Linked DNA regions of Arabidopsis thaliana. The protein of the gene in region 3 interacts with the protein of the main gene of each other region in a pairwise test. Each region holds a gene or a part of one and is shown on either strand. Other genes may lie near its edges. The genes, in order: MYB49, HB-12 and TMAC2.

Evidence for each region.
Region 1: the proteins of TMAC2 (region 3) and MYB49 interact in a two-hybrid assay, tested with the Arabidopsis thaliana proteins (one large-scale study listed by BioGRID).
Region 2: the proteins of TMAC2 (region 3) and HB-12 interact in a two-hybrid assay, tested with the Arabidopsis thaliana proteins (one large-scale study listed by BioGRID).

What each region holds. Positions count from the first base shown.
Region 1 is NC_003076.8:22,015,621-22,020,143, forward strand, and holds MYB49 (myb domain protein 49), read right to left. Parts: upstream 2,442-4,523; 5' UTR 2,226-2,441; coding exon 2,093-2,225; intron 1,896-2,092; coding exon 1,766-1,895; intron 1,434-1,765; coding exon 737-1,433; 3' UTR 523-736; downstream 1-522.
Region 2 is NC_003074.8:22,913,594-22,917,063, reverse strand, and holds HB-12 (homeobox 12), read left to right. Parts: upstream 1-1,670; 5' UTR 1,671-1,824; coding exon 1,825-2,178; intron 2,179-2,364; coding exon 2,365-2,718; 3' UTR 2,719-2,910; downstream 2,911-3,470. UniProt on the Arabidopsis thaliana protein: Probable transcription activator that may act as growth regulators in response to water deficit.
Region 3 is NC_003074.8:384,675-388,793, reverse strand, and holds TMAC2 (AFP2 (ABI five-binding protein 2) family protein), read left to right. Parts: upstream 1-1,742; 5' UTR 1,743-2,356; coding exon 2,357-3,316; 3' UTR 3,317-3,557; downstream 3,558-4,119. UniProt on the Arabidopsis thaliana protein: Acts as a negative regulator of abscisic acid (ABA) and salinity responses.

The DNA.
Region 1 (4,523 bases), on a different chromosome or scaffold from region 3:
TTTAATCTTTCATACACATTTTCTCATAGTGGATAACTATTTAAATCTTCCTTTTAGGTGTATTACTATTTATTTGTGCTGATTTCAAACCAATCATAAGGGAAAACAAGTCGATTATTTCTTTTTTCTTGTATTATGAAATTGAAAACTCCCCTTTATGAGTCTATGACCAATTAAATATAATCACTATTGTCTCCTGCTCCACCAAATGTGTTCTTAATCATCAAAATCAAGATGGTGCAAATAGAATAATAAAACTATAACACCAGAAAATTTTCGTACAAGTTGAAGACCTTTTAGGTATAACGAATGGAAAGTTCTTCGAATTGGAAAATAAGAACAATTAGTGGAAGAAAATGCACAAGAAATCCAAGATTAAGAATACACTTAACTCTTAAAATACTAAGTATGTACGTAACACACTTATCAACCATCTTATGACCTTTTGAGAGTCGACTAATGTAAAGTTCTTCGAAGCAGAAAAAACAATTAGTAGAAGAACAAAGTCAAGATAAAGGTACACTAGCTGTTATCCTCTTAGGTTTTATAACTTTTTTAAGTGTAAACAAATAGAAACCTTTTCGGATCAAAAAAAGTAGAACAAAAAAAAAAAAAAGAGTCAACATAATAATAGACTAAGCTCTTATATTACAAAGTATGTAACACAATTACAAACCCCCATTAAAAAAAAGTAAAAATAAAACAAATAAGATCAAGAAGCAAAATAAATAAGACATTATGATAGATTCAAAGCATTATTATTATGATCATGATGATGATGAAACATCAACATGTCGCTACCAAAACTCTCTCTATCATCTTCGCTTCCACCATTGACATAAAAAGTCGAAGACGAATTCAACGGTGTCGAGCTGCTCGATGAAGTTCCCGCTAGCATTGATGAACTGAAATTCCATCCGGCCTTAAAATTCTCACCATCATTAATGTGGTCGGATACAAATGCGGCTGATGAGTAGTTTCCGGCTTGAGGGACTTTGTTATTAGATGGATCACCTGTACCGGTATAACTGTGATAATCTCCCAAGTATTCTCCATTGTTTTGCCATTGAACGGGTGGTGTTGAGTTGAGCAAACCGGTGAAAGTGGTTTGGTCAGTGTTTAGGTCGTTTTGAAGCTGTTGGTTTGGTTGGTATGATTCGGTCTGAACGTTGTTGAGAGAGGCAGTGAGATGATTCAAGATATCAGGATTAATATTTGAAGTAGTGAGATCAAATGGAGTATTCATCGGTTGTGACATAGATTTAAACAATGATGAGGTAAGAAACGAAGAGAGCTGGAGAAGATTAATGCGGGGACAATGAGTCACCGGATCAATCCCCATTCGTAAGAGTTTCTTTTTAATATGTGTGTTCCAATAGTTTTTGATTTCATTATCTGTTCTTCCTGGTAAGTGAATAGCAATTGCGGACCATCTATAGAAGAAAAAATATCGTGTTATAGATTTTAAGTTAAAATCAAAAAGAGAAGTATAAGTTTTAACTTGTTAAGATATTAGCTGCAGCGAGTTGAAGATTGCATGCTTAGCTTTAGACATTTGACCTTGGTATAGTGCTTAACTATGTTCTTGTCTTTTAGTTGAATAAAATAAAATATGCAAGTAATATTATAACAAAAATGTAAAGACATGGAAGTCCAATGAAGTAGGTGTAGTAGTGGAAAACTAGGTCATTTTTTACTTAATTTAATCATACATGTAAACAATTATACACTAAATGAAGAAATGAAAAATTGCAGATAGACTAACTTGTTTCCAAGAAGACGATGAAGTTGAATGATGGTTTCTTCCTCTTGAAGAGAGAACTCTCCTCTCTTGATATCGGGTCTTAGATAATTCGTCCATCGCAATCTACAACTCTTCCCGCATCTTTTTAACCCTTTTAAGATTCACACCAAGAAAAACGAATAAGAACCATGATTGTTTTAATTTTAATTCTAACGTTGACATGATCTAGCATGATAATCATTATTAGTAAATTTTAAACATAAACGTAAAACAAAACGCAGGAAAACATATTGTAGCTGATAGGATTTAGCTATTTGTATATATACATGCGTTAGGGTAGGAATTTACCGGCGTTCTTGGGAAGGGTACGCCATTTGCCGGGACCGTGCGTTTGAATATAGCCTACGAGCTTCTCGTCTTCCTCCGGAGTCCATGGCCCTTTCTTCACTTCACTTTCCTCCGAGCTTGAAGATTTTCCCATCTTTTTCAAATGTTATATGTGAGAGAACTAGAGAGAGAAGCTAATAAGCTTTGAGAACTTGATTACAGAGAAAATTTGGTTTCTTCATGAATTATGATTTATGTATATACAAATATATATATGGTACATGCAAAGTCAAGTCAAGGAGATTTGGTACCGCCCTTCCATCATCTATCTAAATACGTGTCTTTTCTTGATGAAATACGGAGACAAAATGAAGTAGAAAAAAACTGCTTATTATGTTGACAAAACAAAAGAGTAATTTTTACTCTCTATCTTTAAAGTCCTTACTAACAAACAAAAAGCTCTGACCAAAGAAAAAAAGTAATAAACAAAAAGCATGAGACTAAACCATCTCTATTAACCCTAAAAATAATTAATATTGATGGAGTGAGAACACATGGCAGAATATGGGTGGTGTATGAGGACGTGTGATAGATATGTGAAGAAGGTTCCATTTGTTTTGGTCTCTTTGTCTCAAATCATCAAACAGTTTTCAAGATAGCTATGTTGCGTGTATGTTTAATGTTTACTCATCTGTCATCACTATAGCAATATCATATACATAAATAGACAGATTCAAAATAAGAATTTTATTGAATAAGGTGTGGTTACAGTGATTATACTGAATAAATATGCTTATTTAGCCTTCTAAGTTTTGTATACAAATAATTTCTCTTCTAAGGAGAAAATAAAAAGGAAATATGTAAAGAATGATTACGATAGTGTAAAAAAGTAAAAACAATAAAAATCCAAACGGATCTCCAGTGTGCTTCATCGGTTGGAAATAGATATATATCATCGTGTCATCAAATTTCAGTAGCAAAGCTAGATTGTCCTGCTTGAATTAAGACATCCGATCGAAGTGACTCAGTTTGAGTAACGTCCTGCATCGCACCAGAGTTTCTGTTTACTTCAATAACAATTACATAACGACAAGTTTGAATAACTGATAATCTAAGACATGTATTTTGTTTTTACTAAGTTAGGTAAATTAACGACAAAGCGTTGTTGCAGTGCAACATACGTAAAGAACAAGGCATGTTAACGGTCAAAATACATGTGTGATTAATGAAACAATACTATATAATATACATGTGTCATTGAATTGCAGAGACTTTGGTCTCAGTCCGAAACATGGTTGATTTGACAAGTCAGGGATTTGAAATTTTTTGATTTGATATTTGTAAGAAATTATTACTATTTTAGTTAAATTTGGTTAGTATAAGTTTTAGATTATTTGGAAAACAAGTTATCGGCCGGTTTAAGAGTGATTATATAGAAAGGTTTGGTATTAGAGAAGAATGATAAAGTGACTTTTTAAATTAGGAGAATGACCAATTTATCATTGTTTAGTGCATAGGCGTATTTGACAAGTAACCCCTTGCTCTTGTTACATGTTAAATATTATTGTGTCATATAAAGAGGTAAAATTAATTCTACACTTTATGCGGTATAGCCGTATAAAACATGTTAGGTTGATAATAAACAAGTTATCATAACGTTTTCAACAAGTGCCAAAAATATAAACTTACACTAACACTAAACCGTATATATCGTTTTTTTTAATATAATATTATTTCTATAACATCGATATATCTAGTAAATAGTTATTTTGCGTCCATATAATTCATATTTTTCGTTATATAACAATGAAATGAGTGTTTTTCCACGGTATAGAATATTTTACATGTAAACTTTAAATCATATCATTGTCTCACAGGGAATTGATTCATGAAGGTAAATTTTGTGATGCATGTTTTAAAAATAAAAGACTGCTTTATCAAAAAAAAAAGTAGACCCTTTAACAAAGAAAAAAAGATCCTGCCAAAAATGAATAATGATAATTAGTTATTAAGACGACAAGAAAATTCAGATAATGTGGTCAAATATTTAATTTCTCAACTAAAAGGAAATACAATACATTGTTATTGGTAGATTATGTTATTGCCTGGTTTATCTACAACAATCCCAACAACCCAATCGTCTTAGTAACATTAAAATAATCGCTGTCACAGGAAATTTTGATGAACTCAAGCCTCGTTTCAGATTTATCAGTTTTCTTATAACTTTGCATCTACCAATTATGCAAGTCTTTTCATAAACTAATCTATCGATTATGTAAGTCTTTTCATAAACTAATCTATCGATTATGCAAGTCTTTTCATAAACTAATCTATCGATTATTTAAGTCTTCCGCATGTAAATTCGTTAATCAGCTACCATCTTCATTTTAGTTTGGTATAAGAAGTTATTTATACTGTATGATCTAAATTACATTTAAATATTAAGGGTTAT
Region 2 (3,470 bases), about 23 Mb from region 3:
TTAATTATATAAGTTGCGTTTATCATTAATATTGTTGCTTAAAATTACAAACTTTCAAAATCCCATGGTTAAGATAATTAGTGTTTCAGAGCCTAAGACGGAACGGAACTTGTGTAATTTTGTAAGAATAAACATATTAACTTCGTGTCTAAAAAAAAACATACTACACTGACTTCGTTTTCTAATAAGTAATTGTTGTAGAATTTTAATTTATTTCTGTTTATGTAAACTGTTATTTTGTATGTTTAATGCATATATTTTAGACAAGATACTTCTATCCATAATAGTTAGCTTATTAATAGAGGTATAATAATCTTTTTAGATTTCATATTATATTTAGTACTATTGGTTTTAGAAAAATGGAAAAAGGTCAAATAAATAATAGGAACACCACTGGTTTATATTTCTTTTCTGGATTGTGTATACTTTTTAGAAGAAAACTAAAACGGCATGTTGAAAAGGAAACCAAGAGGATAGTAATTAGGTCAGATTACTTGTTTAGTTACAAGAAAGTCAAGAAATCTCATAATTGAGTTTAAAACTTTAAACATTTGCATGGAAGTCAATAAATCTATAATCCTTACTCGTGATCATCTTATTGTTTCCGTGTAACGAAATTAAACGCGTAAAACATCGCGTAAACTATAGTACGGTATGTGATATGCAAATATATCTTAATTTATTTTTTATTTTTTATTTTTCTTGGGCAATGAATTGAAGAGTTGCAAAATTATTTGCCAGCTTACCACATGCGGCCACAATTTTAACCATGATTAATCTTCTTTTGGAATTTAGCGAGATAAATCAAGAGTAGGTTTATTTTAGAACATAGTATATAATACACTAATGAAAAGTCTCGTTAAAACGTGTTTCACGTAACCGACCTCTAAAGTATGGCGTGCGAGTAACGACAAATGAAATCTCAAATGAAAATGGAGATTATTTTAATCTTAATTATAACACACTAATTAACACCCGTCAAACATCCTGATATGTGAACGTGGAATCTCGTTACACAATCGAATAAAATTATTGCTTAATACGATCCGTCTTTCTCTCTCTTTCGTAATGATTATCTATCAATATTATCTTGACTAATAAAAGTATCGCAAGGCCTTGGCAGTCACATGTTAAATGATGATATACGTTGTTGCATGTTAAAACATAGTACAACGATCATCTAGGCTGCTGCTAAATTCTATTTTCAAAAATGCCTTTTATATGCAAGAAAAGCAAAATAATCGAGTTTTTTTTTTTGTTTCATTATAAACTGCTTCATTTTTCTTAGGAACGGCCAAACTGTTAAAAAGTAAAATATGTATGGTGATTAATTGATGTAACCAAAGCCAGTTCGCCCGTTTGATTGTCAACCCACGTTATCATTCACTTGATCACTTCCATGAAACATATAAAAGCTGATAATACTTATATTATAAAGGAAAAAAAGTATGAAAATATTATCAGTAGTTAGATGATTAGTTCACATCTAAATGAAATACGACTTAAACTGAAAGAGACATGAGCCAATTCGTGTCGAGCCACAAATTTTGGACGTATATTTTTAGCCCGTGGTTCCACAATATTTGCAGGTCTTTTTATTCAATGAGTTTATTTTGTCTTGGTTGAATAATGAAATTTCCAAATATAAAAAATAATAGAAATCCGAGGCCCTACACAAGCACACATAGTAACTCCCACATTATATATAAGCGGCCAATATCAGCAACTCAGAGATTCCAGAAAGAAAGAAAAAAAAGAAACAAATAATTCCAAAACCTTCTCTCTTAATCAAAATCAAGAAACTTACAAGATCTGGTGAAAACCATGGAAGAAGGAGATTTTTTCAACTGCTGTTTCAGCGAGATTAGTAGTGGCATGACCATGAATAAGAAGAAGATGAAGAAGAGCAATAACCAAAAGAGGTTTAGCGAGGAACAGATCAAGTCACTTGAGCTTATATTTGAGTCTGAGACGAGGCTTGAGCCGAGGAAGAAGGTTCAGGTAGCTAGAGAGCTAGGGCTGCAACCAAGACAAGTGGCTATATGGTTTCAAAACAAGAGGGCTCGATGGAAAACTAAGCAACTTGAGAAAGAGTATAACACTCTTAGAGCCAATTACAACAATTTGGCTTCACAATTTGAAATCATGAAGAAAGAAAAGCAATCTCTGGTCTCTGAGGTACATAATGATTCTATCGATATCTTTATCTTTAATTGAACAGTGATAGAAACAATAATTGATAATGATCTTTTTTTTTTATAAAGTATAAAATAGCAAATACAGTCTTGGCATTTATTGGTTTTTGGGGGATGTAAATTCTCGATCATTTTGCCTAATTTGATATTAATCAATCTCTATTTGCAGCTGCAGAGACTAAACGAAGAGATGCAAAGGCCTAAAGAAGAAAAGCATCATGAGTGTTGTGGTGATCAAGGACTGGCTCTAAGCAGCAGCACAGAGTCGCATAATGGAAAGAGTGAGCCAGAAGGGAGGTTAGACCAAGGGAGTGTTCTATGTAATGATGGTGATTACAACAACAACATTAAAACAGAGTATTTTGGGTTCGAGGAAGAGACTGATCATGAGCTGATGAACATTGTGGAGAAAGCTGATGATAGTTGCTTGACATCTTCTGAGAATTGGGGAGGTTTCAATTCTGATTCTCTCTTAGACCAATCTAGCAGCAATTACCCTAACTGGTGGGAGTTTTGGTCATAAAAGCATATAAGAAAAAAACAGAACATAAGCGAAGAGAAAGAGTGTGAATAGTTTGTAAATTATGTGTTAAGAAAAATAAATTTAGTTTAGTTTAAATCTTGTTTCGATCTATGTATCTACTATGTTCAATACTCTTTGTAGCTAATTAGTAGCTTATAATGAGACTAGAAAAGTTTTGAAGTCACCAAGGTTAAATTTGTGATTGCAAGTTGGCTCTAAGAGTGTTGGACCAAGCGTAATGATCACAAGTACAAGAGTCTTCGTCCATAATGATCTCGAAACGGACTAAAAATTGACCTAAATTTGAAACTAAGTGCATTTATCTCTATATTGGTGCTCTGCTATAATGCTTTCAATATCCTCGAGATGAATTGTCTATGAATTTTATCACCAAATATCAGTTTTGATCACATTCCGGTTCATCAGCTCAGGTTACTCTGTCACTCCCTTCCTATGAGATATTTGTAGCTGGATTGGCAGATATGGAACAACTTCTTGTAGATGCAGAACTAGTTCCTTTTGGTGTTTGTCTTTCCAGTTTATAAGGAACAATCGAGTCATGATAATCTTCCTATGATTGATGTCATGTGGGACATGTGCTTTGTAACCAGACTCTCAACAGAATGTAAAAGAATGGCTCTAAGTCAAGTCTTTATAGTGTCCTTAATCTTGTAGCAACGGTAGCCCCTGGATCATCCCTTCTTCCTTGAGAAATCAAAGCAAACCAATGTTTCTCTTATGGTTCTGTTCTG
Region 3 (4,119 bases):
CATATAGATAGATTGATAGCCACATTTCTGAGATTCGATAGTCATATATACGACTATATATTAAATATTCCAGAAGATATATTGACACTTTTTCTGAAAGACTAATTAAGAAGAACGCGCAAGTATGACTATGCGTTACTAAGAATATTTAATTTCCATTAGAAAATGTGTAAGTTTATCTGATATACTAGTTAATTAGCCAAATGATTTTAAAATTTACGTTAAGAAAATTTCGTAGGTTCAACTTTTTAGTGTGTAAGTTATTAATTGTGAATTATACAGCTAGGAACGTCCGTTATATGTAAACAAAGTAACTATATATAAAATTTAAGACTTAGAGTAAGTATTTATTATGTGATTGTTATATATACTCGCTAAAGAGTACTAGATGAAGAGTGAAGAGGTTGGGCATCTCGAGAGAGAAACTGAAGAAAACAGAAGAGAAAGAGAGTTATTCACTCGATGGTCCCCCTAATTTTCCTATCACTTTTTCTCTCTCAATTTAACCGTCTCTTGTATTATCCCCAATAGTTACATTTTTAATTACTCTTATCATTTCAATACCCAACAAAGCAGAAACAGCCCAGCAAAATTTTCACTTCCAGAAATTATAACATGGTTGAATACACAACACTAATTAACTGCAATATGAATCATAAATAAATTTATTAAGATTTCTATATAAAAACTGTTGGGCAGCAAATGCATGCGTACGATATCTATAGAATTGGAGTTTAGTGCAATTGTTGGTATTTCTTTCTTTGGGGAAAGTGACACGTTAAAATATGAAAAATGTAAAAATTTGAACAAGACTTACAATAACTAGAAAAATCAGAGATACAAAATTTACTACTCTATCAGTCTATCTGTTGTCTTATACACTACACCTTTATTATGCACTGTTCCTATCCCAAACACCAATCCCTATGCTCAGTCCATATGGTAGATACTACTAGAGATGGTAACCCAACACATATGTGTTAGATGGCCCCATAGGCAGTAAGCAAAACATTACTTTTTACAACCATATCTTTGTTTATAAATTTTAAAAGCTATGTGAATTTAATTTAGTATTACTATCCTGGATCACAATCTTGGGCCAACAAAAGAAATGTGTATGGGCCAACTGTGATGAAAGAAAAGCCCAATGGATCAAAGTTCAGATGCTTTCTGTAGCTCTTTTGTAGAGAAGTTTTTGTAAGTTTAGTTATAGAAGCAAAAATAGGTAAACCACAAAACTGAAGCCCGGTTGACTAAATCCTTAAATGTGATCATGTCACACAGCAACTTGGCTACATGTTGTCGTGAAGCAATGAATAAAGTGGTACGTGGTGTATTCTAGAAGCGAAACGTGTCACTAATCTTATCACCTTTTTAGGGTAAAATAGATTTGAAACAAAACATTTCTTCAAACATACAAAAAAAGAAAGAAATAGTACAAGTTGGCCACTATGCGTGTCCCACTTCTCGATCTCCTCTTTGATTGTTTGCGTCTCTTTAGGAGATCCTCCCATTCATTCATTCTTTCCTCTCCACCTTATTATTACTATTATTCTGCTGCATGAATTTCAAAAAATTATGTAACAACAATTTACCGAAATGAAATTACCACAAAGGATTAGAAACTAGCACATTCTTAATAACCAATATTGAACTCTTATTAGTATTGTTGTTAGAACTTGAAGTTAATTAGGCCACAAGAAAAGGCGCGTAGAAATGTTTAGATAAAAAAAATGTCTAACGTATTTCTTTGGTTTGCCGTGTCGGGGGCCCAGTCAGGCTGGATACACGTGGCAATAAAGGGACTGTCGTAGTTGAGCACGTTGATTATTAGACACGTGTCGAGTTGTATATGAACAAAGTAGCCTACGTCTACGCCACTTGATGCCCTTTTCCACGTGGCGTGGTGGGTGGTCGTCTATCTTTTCCTATAAAAAATCATAAATCAATATTAAAATGTTTTCAAGAAGATAATCCGAATAATTCCCTATATTTTGTGTCTGTCAACGAGAAATCACTATCTATTTTCATTGATTATACTAATGCAAATTGGTATATTAACTGGAAATTATGTCTATTTTAAGCCAACTTGTGTGAAAATATACTAAAGTAAAGTTTTAAAATCCGTACTACATCGTCAACTATGCTTGTAATATAATTCAAAAACATGATTTTCTTTTTTTTTCCCTGAAAAATATAAAATATGCAAATTGAAGTACTATAGTTTATAATAGTAAGCATTTGGTGCTTGTTTTAAGACAAAATTGTTTCGTCTCTCTCAAGATTGAAAATAGAAAGTTAAGCCAAAAACGTTTCTCCCTTCTCTTTCGAATTTCTCTGACTTTGATATTTGGTTATGGAGATGATAAGAGGCAGGGGAATCCCAAACGGCGTCGTTCAAGTACCCAATCTTTCTGCTAATAATCTCTTGCAGAAGTTTTTCATCGCAAGCAACCATTTTTGTCAGCGAGACTCTGAGCATGGTGAGAATCAACAAGAAGCGAAGAAGAGAGAAGATGAAGCAGAAGAGGATGAGAAAGACGTGGAGCTAACGTTAGGTCTTTCGCTTAATGGACAGTTTGGTACGGATCCGAGATCGAGAAAAAGGAGGCACTTTGAACTGGGTCGATCTTCTTCGATACCGGAAGGTTTCGTCTTCGATGAACAAAGATCCGGCGGCGGTAACGGCGGAGATATGCGTCGTATTGTGGGCCGTGGAGGCTCAGACATGTTTCAGCTGGATCGGACGCGTTCTCTGCCGGTCGTAACGGAGATGGATATAGAGAAAGAGCGGAAGGTGTCAGAGAAGACGAGGGCATTTATGGAATCTCCGGTTACAAACAGAGGAGCATATCTAACAAAAGATAAAAACAGAGGCCAAGCCGTCGAAACAGAGAAGCCGAGGGCATTTCTGGAATTTAAGATTCCTCCGACCAAGGAGGGAAAGAAAGAAAAAGATCGGTTGGTTGTCACTGGTCCGGTCAACGGGAAGGGTAAAAATGGAAATACGGCGAAGAAGCAGAAGAATAATGTGGAAAATTCAGGAATGGAGAAGGCGAGGAACATTCTTGAAGACATGCCTTGTGTGTCGACGAGAGATGTCGGAGCCGACGGGAAACGAGTGGAAGGGTTTCTTTACTGGTACGGAGGGAACAAGGAGGAGGTCAAGATAGTTTGTGTTTGCCACGGCAGTTTTCTTTCTCCGGCGGAATTTGTTAGGCACGGCGGAGGTACCGTCAGCGATGATGATGGTGGTGATGTTATGATTAACCCTCTTAGACATATTGTTGTTAAACTTCCTTCTTCTTCTATCTAGGGATTATTATTTATCCCCAACTATTATTAGAGCTCTCATTTTTTGTTTTCCCTAACTTTCAAAATGTAACGATGTCAAACTAATTTGACCGACTAAACTAGCTGAAGCATGTACATTTTATATCCAAAGTTATTACAGATCCACTTGATTTGATTTTGGTTAAGAATGTTGAATCAATCTTAGCTAAACGGATGTTTTATTTTTTAACGTTAGAAATTAAAGATTCATTGATATCGAAGGGAGAGGAAACAGAGTTCAAAACTGAAGAGAGACAAATGCAAAGCCAAGACTACCAACAGGCAACAGATATATCACTACGAGTGAGCTCAGAAGATAATGAGAAAAGACAACCTTTGCAAAGGAAGCAGGGAGCAAAACCATGGTAAGAGAACTAAGTTTTCTCTCTAAGTCTAATTGTGGATCGTCAGGACTGCTTTGTAACTAATGCGATAAGTGAGCCAAGAAGGGGGCTATATATGATTGATAACGGTGATCTTTCGTAACACACTAATGGCTATAAGCTCTAATTTCCATTCTTCAAATGAAACCGTTAGCCTCAACGAACGGATGTTTCACAAATGTTGAGCCAATGGATGGATATACTCGTCTTTATTATCGAGCAATACGCTTGGCGTTAACTATTCATGGAAGTAGCATGTAGTAGCGAGAGTCGCTCTATTTGATACTAGATACATAGAAGAACCTTTCACATCGCTGTCTTTCAAGAAGGATGAAGATGCCAACTCAACCAAAGCAAGCCAGACCACTACCGAAGAAGATCGACAATCATGAATCAAGACCCA